3 linked regions of the Coturnix japonica genome follow. The protein of the gene in region 1 purifies or fractionates together with the protein of each later gene. This does not show direct contact. Links are inferred from orthologs where the notes say so. Each region holds a gene or a part of one and is shown on either strand. Other genes may lie near its edges. The genes, in order: H(+)/Cl(-) exchange transporter 5, TMEM9 and TMEM9B.

The links.
Region 2: the proteins of H(+)/Cl(-) exchange transporter 5 (region 1) and TMEM9 purify together in Homo sapiens (co-immunoprecipitation; 3 studies listed by BioGRID and IntAct, with this or other methods). This does not show direct contact. The link is inferred for Coturnix japonica from reciprocal best matches to the Homo sapiens genes CLCN5 and TMEM9.
Region 3: the proteins of H(+)/Cl(-) exchange transporter 5 (region 1) and TMEM9B purify together in Homo sapiens (co-immunoprecipitation; 3 studies listed by BioGRID and IntAct, counting the BioPlex papers as one, with this or other methods). This does not show direct contact. The link is inferred for Coturnix japonica from reciprocal best matches to the Homo sapiens genes CLCN5 and TMEM9B.

The regions. Positions count from the first base shown.
Region 1 is NC_029519.1:9,198,650-9,202,396, forward strand, and holds the start of H(+)/Cl(-) exchange transporter 5, read left to right. Parts: upstream 1-981; 5' UTR 982-1,397; coding exon 1,398-1,443; intron 1,444-3,564; coding exon 3,565-3,714; intron 3,715-3,747. UniProt on the Homo sapiens protein: Proton-coupled chloride transporter. Functions as antiport system and exchanges chloride ions against protons. Important for normal acidification of the endosome lumen. May play an important role in renal tubular function.
Region 2 is NC_029541.1:1,279,992-1,283,738, reverse strand, and holds the start of TMEM9 (transmembrane protein 9), read right to left. Parts: upstream 2,275-3,747; 5' UTR 2,199-2,274; intron 2,170-2,198; exon of another isoform or gene 1,932-2,169; intron 438-1,931; 5' UTR 429-437; coding exon 336-428; intron 1-335. UniProt on the Homo sapiens protein: Transmembrane protein that binds to and facilitates the assembly of lysosomal proton-transporting V-type ATPase (v-ATPase), resulting in enhanced lysosomal acidification and trafficking.
Region 3 is NC_029520.1:13,761,980-13,765,726, forward strand, and holds the start of TMEM9B (transmembrane protein 9B), read left to right. Parts: upstream 1-1,064; 5' UTR 1,065-1,189; coding exon 1,190-1,267; intron 1,268-1,408; coding exon 1,409-1,500; intron 1,501-3,747. UniProt on the Homo sapiens protein: Enhances production of pro-inflammatory cytokines induced by TNF, IL1B, and TLR ligands. Has a role in TNF activation of both the NF-kappaB and MAPK pathways.

The sequences.
Region 1 (3,747 bases):
TTACAGCAGCAGTCTGTTGTGCTGCGGCTCTCACCTGGCATTGTCTTTTCTTAGCAGTTGGACCCTGGTTAACTGTGTGAGAGGCACACATGGAGGTCTTCTGTATGCGTGGTCTTTTGATGCTTAGCTGTTAAAGAAGAAATTACAATTAGTTTGTTAAGATCAATTTTTTTCTTCTGATCCTTTGTTAAAATTGGAGAAAAAACAAACCACCCACCCCTTTCCTCTGTCTGAAAAGCACGCAGTCAGTGCATGTGCCACAGCACCATCCCATTGGGGCTGAGGATCTGCTGGCAAGGCTGGGTTGGTGCTGCCTGGCCTGTGGGGGTGACCCAGCAGTGCTCCCTGCAAGCTGTGCTGGCTTCCTCCTGTAACTCACAGCCTGCACATGGGAACCTGGGTCTCCCAGGTTTACGCTTCATGAACTGTGATATGAGGAAGTCCCAAACAATTGACTGAGTTGACCAATGCGTTGTTGTTCTGCTCATGTTATAGGCTCCTCTGCTCTGGAGCTGCTGGCTCCCCTTGCCTTCTGCTGTGGTTTTTTACTTGTGGGTCTTGTTGAGCAGAGGGATGTGTGCATCTTTATGCAGAGATAATGTGGGGAGAATGTGGGGCTTGGGATGAAAAACCAAAGTGGGAGAGGGGAAGAAGAAGTGCCGTGAACTTCAAAGCTTGACTTTGATTTGCTAATCTCTGAAAAAAGTAGCCTTGTGGTCTGGCCCTTGTGTTTCTCTAATTTAAGTAGCCGCTAGGTGGTAAACTTGCTCCTTCCCCACAGGAAGAATGACTCATAGAAGCAGCTGATCAGAATTACTCCATGCTCTTTTTAAAGAGCATAATGTCTTTGTGCTGGTGGTGGAGTTGGAGCCAAGCCCCGTATCAGATGAGGAGGAAAAAGTGTTTTGGAAACTTTTAGCATGTTCCAACTTCGAAAGCCTCAGGTTTGCATTCCTGAAGAGCTGCTCCAGGCCCCCTGCTTAGCTTTGCAGCCCTTCTGTATCGTCAGGCTGGTGTGTGTGGGAAGGGAAGGGGAAATCGTTTCAGAGCTGAGAGAACATCAAGACAGTCCGACAAGGAGGAGAACAGGTTTGCAGGATACAGGAGATGGTGTCGGAGCATGAAATGGGGAGAAAAGCCTGAAATATCTGGTGCTGATTTAAGTGTTGCAAGTGACGGAGCCAATGTTGTAACAGAGACTAGAGGCGGGTTTTTTTTCAGCCAGAATGGCAATGGGGTACTCTGGGCTTCCTGATTGTTGTTGCTGAGTCACATCCAGGCATCACAGGGCTGGCTTCTTCAGGTTCTGTTTTGTTGCTTCCCTTTTGCCCCACTGAGATGGAAAGAAATGTCAGGCTGAAAAAGAAGTAGAAGTTAACAGGAGCAGCTCCAGAAGGATGGCTTGGTACTCACTGGAGCGCTGGGAGAGCCCGCAGCCCTTTGGTATGTATCATTACCATGGGAGGGTTATAGAGAGCGTGCAGACCATGCCAGCACCCTGCTGCGTGGTCTGATAGGAAAGAAGCAAAAGTATTGTGATACATTAACCATGAGATAAGCATGAGAACAGTCACTGTGTTTCTGTATGCGTGATTTAGACTGGAAATGTATTTTTTGCTCATAGAGGGGATATTATTGTTTAAAAAAAATTGGTTTAAAGCTGTATCTCTCAAGACTGATATAGGACTTATGAAAGAAGAGGGGCACTGAATTATCTTGTGTCCAGCTGTATGGATGCTAGATGCTTACCCAGTATCTGCAAGCACTGGAGAGTGGTTTGCTTTTTGGTTTTGTTGTGAGTGACAACGAAGTTAGGGATAAGGAGCAGGAGCTGACACTGCTCCAGTTTCCTCCCTTTGGAACAGGCAGTGTGTGCTGGCAGCTGTGTGCCCTCTTGTCTGCTAAGGGAGGCAGCTTTATCAGGGCTGGGGATTCACGCTTTTAGTGCAGAGAGAATACATGAATATAGACCTCTTTTAACCCTCCTTTCACACACATAAGCTTACACGCAGTCTGACTGGAAAATACCTATTAGACTGTTCTGTTGTGTGTTAACCCTGTGATGCAAAGCATAGTTTCTTAGCTCTCTGCTGGGATGGGTCTTGCTGGCCCTGCCCCATTTACTGCAGGGAGCAGATTAGCTGAGGGACAGCATTGCACTTCAGTGAAACCTGATTTTATTGTTAGCTGGCAAAGAATAGCCTTGAGCTCCAAAAAAAAAAAAGTAAGGCACCATTAGTTTTGTGTGCGCACTGATTGAGGTTTAACCTGATTTGCCTTTGTGCTTTTGGAATGTGTTAAAAGCATCAGTTCTGGCAGAGCAGAGTCCAGCAGCTCATGTGCCTTCCTGGACAGTGAGTTCCCAGCAGCAAGTGCTGAGCATTTTCTTTACTGGTGTGTTCTGCACCAGTTTAGTGAGTAAACAGGGCTTAAAAATTAAGCAACACTCTTTTCTACAGTGTAAGGCTCAGTAAAGAGCTCAGTGTGTCATTTCACTGTGCAATGCCAACATTTTTTTTTGGAGTGGTGCTTTTTTGTTCATAGGAAGTGCTTTTTGCAGACTGTGTAATTCAGACTGTTTGCACATGCTGCCTTCTTCCCTTCCTGAAATAAGGCTGAGCTGCAGATTTGGTTCCTCTCTAGTTCCCTTGTACGTATACAAGAGAAAAGCAAACATGGCCTATCGTCTCATTGAGATGTAAAGCTTTCTATTTTCGTGTTCCATGGGCTGTTTTTGAGGCTGAGACCTGATTTTATATATATATATATATATATATATATATATATATATTTATTTTTTTTTTTATTATTTTTTTTTTTTACTTCCAACCTAGGCTATTATTAAATGTTTAGATCCTGTTGTGCTCTCACAGTCTCCTTGCCATCCTAGGCAGTCACAGAATCACAGAATGGGTTGTTGTCATGGTTTTGTATGGGAAGTGGTCCAGCCTGACTAAATCAAGAACTAGGTTAGGCTGCCCAGGGCCCCCTCCAGCCTGGCCTTAAGCACCTCCAGGTATGGGGCACCCACACTTCTCTGGGAAGAAGACAGGCCTTGTGTCATGGCCTGCTGCCAGCATCTCCTCGAGATGGCCAGGTCAGGCAATGGGTTAGGGATACTTGATTAAGAATATTTGTGAAGTTGTATTGTGGTTTGCTGTCTAGGTCAGAGAGCCCAGCAGCAGCAGTGGCTCCGTGTTTCGGATCCTTTCTTCTTGTATGCTGGGTCTGTCATGTGTGCTGCCATCCTTCAAGGCTGGAGAACTGGTGTGCTTGCACAGGCTATCTGCAAGTCAAGCGTGGTCCCAGCACAAGGGCAGCCGTGCTTTGGTGCTGGGAGTATGCAAGTGGGTGTGTATAGCTTTCTAAACTTGTTACCTTTTAAGGCCACAGGTGTCTTAATACTGCTGTGTGTCTTCACTTCTGATGGCAAGAGCAATGCTGCCTCTTTTGACGTTTTGGGACAAAATGTCCAGGGGACACTTGCCCAGTTAGTTTATAAAATGTCTTCACATTTCTACTCTAAAAACATTTCTACTCTTAAACCTTTCCATTTGCTCCCAGGTTTGGAAGCTCTGGCCATGGATCAGAAAGGCTATCGACGAGGGAGTTTCCAAAGCAGCACTAGTGATGAAGATATGCTAGAAATAGCAGGAGCATCTCTGGACTTCTCTATGGCAGATGATGATCCACCACTCGACAGAGAAATGGGAGGTAATACCATGCATCTCTCCACTTTTTTATATT
Region 2 (3,747 bases), on another chromosome or scaffold:
AGTGAGTTAAAACACACGGGTACAGCTCTGCTGCCCTCACACATAAGGCTGTGGCAGCAGAACATTCCCAAAGAGAGAGATGACTTCACATCACATCTCTTATTTCTCTTATTTCTTCTCTCCAGAGATCAGGTTCTCCTCAGATGTATTGCAAAGCACAGACTTGAGGCCTCCATCACATACATTCACAGCCCTTCATGTTACAGATACACATGTGTGCACTGACCTGCTGCAGCTCTTTTTCCTTTTTCATATTTCTGTTGAAAAACAGTTGCTTCTCTGCCATTTCTGTGCCCGTTGTACCACACTCAGTGTGTCTGAAGTTGTTCACTCACCTTGCCAGCCTGTGCTGGAGGAGAAAGGACGCAGCTCAGCAGTGCAATCAGCAGCATGGAGCTTGCACACTTCCAGGTGCATTGGACAAACATTGTGGAAGCCTGAGGAAACAGAAATTCCCATAAAGGAACCTTCTTAATTAAATAACTTAACGTTATTTCCCCCAAGAAATGGAAGTTTCTCCCTGTATCGAGGTGCCAACCTGAAACTCTTGGAAACCCAACTCACAGACCCCAAAATGTCCCCATCCAAAGAGCTTGGGGCATGGAGACATTCACCCCAACTAAACACTGTTCACTGAGCCCTGAAGCCACACATCACTCCTGGTGCCACACTCAGCATCACAGTGCTCTGAAGTAGGTGTTGTGATGCTGATTTTGCTACAGAAGTGTGGATGAAGTCACTGCAGAGAGCTGTTTTTGCACAAATCCAAAGCAACGGGAGCTCTCTTTGCACACTGAAGCTCTGCCAGATGTGAGCTCTTTGCACACTGAAGCTCTGACAGATGCAAGCTCTCTTTGCACACTGAAGCTGACAGATGTGAGCTCTTTGCACACCAAGGCTCTGACAGATGCGAGCTCTTTGCACACTGAAGCTCTGACAAATATGAACTCTACACACTGGTGCTCTGACAGATGTGAGCTCTTTGCACACTGAAGCTGGCAGATGTGAGCTTTCTTAGCACACCAGTGCTCTGACAGACGAGCTCTCTTTACACACCAAGACTCTGGCAGATGTGAGCTCTCTTTGCACACGGAGGCTGACAGATGTGAGCTCTTTGCACACCAAGGCTGTCAGACATGAGCTCTTTGCACATTGAAGCTCTGACAGACATGAGCTCTCTTTGCACACCTGTGCTCTGACAGATGTGAGCTCTTTACACACTCAGGCTCTGTCAGATGTGAGCTCTTTGCACACTGAAGCTCTGACAGACATGAGCTCTCTGCAAACTGAGGCTCTGGCAGATGTGATCTCTTTGCACACCAGTGCTCTGACAGATGCAAGCTCTCTTTGCACACTGAGGCTGACAGATGTGAGCTCTCTGCACAGCAAAGCTCTGACAGACTTGAGTTCTTTGCACACTGAAGCTCTGACAAATATGAGCTGTCTTTACACACTGGTGCTCTGACAGATGTGATCTCTTTGCACACTGAGGCTCTGTCAGATGTGAGCTCTCTTTGCACACTGAGGCTGGCAGATGTGAGCTCTTTGCACACCAAGGCTCTGTCAGATGTGAGCTTTCTTAGCACACACAGGCTCTGACAGATGTGAGCTCTCTTTGCACACTGAGGCTGTCAGACATGAGCTCTTTGCACACTGAAGCTCTGACAAATATGAGCTCTCTACACACTGGTGCTCTGACAGATGTGATCTCTTTGCACACTGAGGCTGACAGATGTGAGCTCTCTGCACAACAGGGCTCTGTCAGACTCGAGCTCTTTGCACACTGAAGCTCTGTCAGACTTGAGCTCTCTTTACACACTCAGGCTCCAACAGACCCCCGTTACCACACCTCGATCCCACACCTCGCCCCAGCTCCTCCGGTTCTCACAGCCATTTACACCCCCTTAAATCCACACCTCTCCCCTCTTCACCTTATTCCAACGCTCCACAGCAGCCGGGCCGACATCCCGTCAGGTTTACACAGAGATTACGAGCATCACATCCGATCCACCCCCCACCCCCAACGCTCCGCTCCTTACAGCACAGCCCCAGGCCGTCTTCCCGGTATTCCTCCTCTCCGTTCATCCAGGCTGCAGCCCGCCCATCTATGAGGCCCAGCGTCCCGCTGAAGGAGCCGTGTAACACCGCCCCCCCCCCCCTCCGCCCAGGCCGCCCCCCGCCGCCGCTCTGGGCCTTACCTGCCGCTTGACGCCGGCGCCCCTGCAAGCCCCACCCCAGCCCTGCGCCCATTGGTTGCAGCGTGACGGGCAGAGCGCTCGGCCAATCGGAAAGCAGAGAGGCCTACCGTGCTCTAATAAGATGGGCCGCGCCTGTGCTGCACCTCAGTGTGAGGTGGGGGGTCGTGGGGTTCGGTGTTTAGATATGACGTGTAGCTGTGGGTCTGCGTGCCCGCTTTCTGTATTGAGGGTAAAGCGCTGTCACAGCACTGCAGTAACGGATTGGGTTGGGCTGCTTTACCGTTATAAGTCACATTTAGCACTCTCTGGTTCTGTGTTAGAAGCCTCAGGCCTACGGCTGCGCTGAGGGCAACGCTGTGCTTCCCACAGCTGCGGCCTTGTCTTCAGAGGGAGCGTTCAGTGGGCCTGGCTTTGCGGCCTGCTGCTGGGGGAGATGGGGCCCCCTGGGCTGAGTGGATCTCTGGGTCCCTCTGGGGCTGTGTGGGTCTCTGGGGTTTGCTGTTTGAAAATGGAAATCAGGAGGCTGTGGTGAGATACATTCAACTGGAAGCATGTGTAAATCAGGGGATGCCCCTCTGGTGTGATGTGGTACGCAGCTGAGAGGAGATTTGCTGCTATGAGCAAGCTGAGACTGTTTGAAGGTTTGTACAGTTGTGGAGGTTGTCAGTTCTGCAGTGCACCCAGGTGTGGGAATTCCTGATGTAAGAGTGTTTTCTCCCCCAGCTCTGCCATGCATAAGGTGCTGGCCCAGCACGCTGTGTTCCCCACACACTCAGCTGGAGTCCATTAGAGGGTCACGGCCTGCTCCAGCTGGATTGACCCAAGGAAATGTTCCAGATGAATCATCCTGGCAATCAGGTGCACAAGGGACTTCTAATTCCTTCCTCCTACTCCAGTGCTGCCAAGCGGAAGCACTGCTGTGCTGCAACTTGCTGCTCTTACTTCTGAGCACGACCTCAGCCCTGGCTGTGGGATGCTACCAATGTTGTGAAATTGCTGAGTTTTTATCATGACCACAGGGCTCTTATGTTGCCAACTTGCCCAGCACAACTGGTAAGGAGGTATTTTTATCTGCTCTGACGTTTTTATTGTCACAGTAATCTATCCTTCTTTGTTTTTTTTCTGCAGTATAACTATATATACCAGTGCTTCTTGTGGGACTGGAATAAGCTGGATGTGTGCTTACAGGACACAGCTTCACCTAGTGACAAGATGCTGAGCAGTCCTCCTGGAGTGAGTAAATAAATGACCCAAGCAGCTCCAACGCTGGATGCAGGTTTCAGTCTTTCAGGTGAGTACCTCAGAGACAAGTCTGCCAAATACCTGATGAGCTTGGAAGTTTCCAGTCCCTCTTTCTGAAGGTTGTTTTCGTGTGTGTGCATTGACTTGTGTTCTGTGGTGTAGGGGAGGATGCTTTCTTTGTAGCAATGGGGGGGGGACCACACAGCACATCCAGGAGATCATTTTCTGCTCCTTTCCTTGCTGGGTTTTTCCTTAGTGTCTGTCCCATGTAGCTCAGACAGTGGGCTTAGTTATCTTCTGAGTTCCA
Region 3 (3,747 bases), on another chromosome or scaffold:
CCATGCCGAGCAGCTTCTGCTAGCTTAACTAAATGCACAACACAGCAAGCCCTGCCATTTCTGCCACCTCAAGTAGAGGGCACCAACTCCTGCCAAGTCCACTACTTAAGTAGCAAGGGTCACCAATCCTTATGTAAAAAGAGGAACCAACCCCTGCTACTTCCGCCATCTTAAACAACTATAGGGACAACACAGCAAACCCTGCCACTTCTGCTCTTATGCAACATAGGAGCCAAACATCCTTGCTACCTCCGCCATTTTAGGTAGCAGGGCATGTGTACCCCTGTGACTTCTGCCATCTTAGAGGCAAAAAAACCCAGCAACCCAGCCATCTCCACCACCTTAAGTAACAAGTGGCATGATGCAGGAACCCCTGCTAGGACCAGCATAGGAGTATGGAGGAGAAAAGCATGGAAAGCTGAAATACAGCTACCAGAAGAGCTGTTCTGTTATCACACCCCATGACAGCCCTGACCTCCAGGTGCATGGTACTGTGCCAGACACGTCTCCCCATGGGACAGGCATGGGGCAGGCACGGGATGGATCCAGGCTGGCTCACTCGCCCTGGGACACCATGTTGTTGTTGCTGTTTTTTATTTAATAAAGCAAAACGAAACCCCAAGCATTGCCATGTGTCCAGCTGCATTACCGTGTGATGAGGATATTCTACATGTTGTTGTTGCTGTTCTTTATTTAATAAAGCAAAACGAAACCCCAAGCATTGCTGTGTGTCCAGCTGCATTACCGTGCGATGAGGATATTCTACAGTGCATATGAAAGCAGGGGGCGGCCGTGGGCAGACCTTGAGCAGACACAGACATTATATTTACACTCCCAAGCACTTGGAGAGGGTTTATTCATGGTTTCAAATGAGACCCAGCTTCTATTTCATACTTATTTTTGTTTGTTACTAACTCGTTAAACCGCGTATGCTTCTTAACGCCGGCTGTATTTCCTCTTAACAAAACCACGGTTAAAACAAACACCGTTTATTTAACGCGATATTAGTCCCTCTCCGCCCGGAACCTCGTGGCGCTGTCGCAGTTCCCCGCGGACCTCAATGAGGAGCGGACATCACCGGAAGAGAACGGGAGGAAGGTGGAAGTGATGGCGGCGGCACGGTAGTGTTGTTAATTAGGCGGTGTTGTGTTGTTAGGCGGTGCTTTAGCAGGAGAAGCCCCGGACCGACATGGCGGCCGGCCTCGGGGGCTGGCTGTGCCTCTGCGGGCTGCTGGCTGTTCTGGCGGGGCTGGGCGCACAGGCTAAGGTGAGTAGTGCTGTTTGTGTATTTATCCCGGTAATTGCTTTGAGCTCTTGAGATGAAGGTGGTTTGTTGTCAGTTCTTGGGGTCTGACATACTGTGTGTGTGCGCTCCGTGTCCCGGCTCAGCGTGTTGTTTGCTTTGCAGAATTCCGAGGACGTCCGATGTAAATGCATTTGCCCTCCTTACAAAGACCACTCGGGCCACATCTACAATAAGAACGTCTCGCAGAAGGACTGGTGAGTTTATCGTGGGGAGTTACAAACAGCGTGACTGTCTGTCAGCGTTCTGTGGCGATGACAAAAACATCTCTGCTACATCTCATTGCGCCTTCGCTTCTAAAAGCATTTCAGAATTGAAGAGATGAGGGTTTTCACCCTTAATGTTTCTCCATCTTCTATTTTGGATTGCTTTGTTTGCCTGTTTTTAGTTCCTGTTGCATAAGGCTTGGAGGTAGTAGAAGGAAAGGGGTGTTGTAATTTGAATTCAGTGACCACAAGTGGTATCATGGTGAAGTAGTGTATCTGTTAATCTAGGATAGGGATTGTTTTCTCCTACTTCTCTGCTCTCAAAACCAGTCCTGTTGTTCAGAGATTGTTTTGGAGGTTTGTTCCTCAAAAATCACAGTCAGAGAATGCAGTATAGTTAGCAGCACATTCTCTCTCCTGTGTATAGAGAAACCTGTGTCTCAGCCACGTACTGTGTTGTTTTGCTTGGACCTACCCATGGCATCTGTCAGATTTAAACTGAGCTGAGGACCAGTGTATGTGGGCAGGGATGAGCAGCTGGGGAAGAAAGGAAGATAGCACTGATTTAAAGCAGCATGCTTTGGAGTTGCTGTGATATCCAAAGTGCTCAGGAATTTGTGGATCAACCTATAAAAATGTGAAATATGTTTTGATATGTCGACTCTTTTCCTTATATACCAAGAATTATTAGTAGGCTTTTTGGTCTGTTGAATAGCAGCTGGCTAGCAGCTTGATTGTGAATAATCCATACCCCTTAGTAATCCCACCAAAACAATTAGAGGAATGAAGTTAGTGATACAGATGTGTATTAAGAGCTGTGCCTTGACTTACTGACTTACTTACAGAAGAGCTGTGAGAAACAACACCATAAATTTCAATCTGTGTTAATGAACATAAAATGTAGTGTCTAATCTAAATTACTGTTTTGTCCCATGTGGTTAGCTTAATGTGATTAGGCCTGCTGTGACAAATTAGTCATAGTCAATGCAGTAGTAAGACATACTGAGAGAACTGCAGCTGCAGCTGGCATTTCAGAGTGACTCTGTTAATGGCTTAGTTGCCTATTACTCCTCTGCCTATTAAGTGTGGTTTTTTCAGTGGACATTGCTTAGCATGTGCCCTACTGCCAGAAAAGGCCTTGTTTCACTTTAAATCGTATTGGTAGTGATTTAAGGAAAAATTAACTTTGTAGTCTTGGCTCGTTTCATGGTGACAGGTAAATGGTGCTTACAGGATCTCAGAAACCTATTTTCTGGTCCTAAATCTTATTTTGTTGGGGTTGTTTCTTGTGAGACCACTTGGGAATGTTTTGGTCTTCTTGTTTGAGTTGCCTTCTTGCTACTTTAAAAAGGCTTCACTGCTTGGTCATGTGCAACAAAGTAGACCATTTTAGTGTCACACTTGGGCTTCTGCATCTGTGCCAGTGACCTGTTATTGTATAGAACAGGGTGATGTGCTCTGCCCTTCGGGCATTTACATCTGTCGCTCTGAGGCAAGAGTCAGATCAGTGAGTTACGTTCAGTATGATCACTTACTGCCTCCTTATCTGGACTCCAAATCTTTAATATTGAGCTTAATCTTTAATATTGAACTTGTAGCCTGCATTATGATACTCTTATTTAGGTACTTCTGTTCTTTTGTTGGAGAGGTCCTTCTTTTTCATCCTCACAGACTGCTAAACAATGCCTTTTGATAACATCAGTGTGAGCTGACAGTGCTCCAACACCAATAAATGTGTTTTCCATTTGAGAGTTTGGAGCTACTGCTGACACTTCAGTCCTGACAAACAACACACTAGGCAAGCATTGTGCTGTGTAAGACTAAGCACCTACATGACATTCAGTTAAATAACCCACTTTGAGAGAAATGCATTTATATTTCATGTCTAGAGGCTGATTGCTTTAATAGTCAAGGACATAGTGGGAGGGAAGGTGCCCTGTCTGCTTTGGTGGATAAACTGAAAGCTGACCTGAAACTGTGCTTTTGGCTTGCCTTGATTTGCTAGGAAGAATAGCTTCATTGGTGCTGTTATTGTTGAGTGGGAACACCCTTTAGGAAAGGGTCAACCTTTTCCATGTATTCCTCTTAAACTGCCATGGAATCACAGTCCAAGGAAACATATAATCCAAACTGAGAGCTTTTACCCTCCATAGCAATGTGAAACTGAACTAGAGAAAAAAAAACCTTGCTGATATTATTTGATATATTCACAGTAACAGATATTCTGCTGTACCCAAG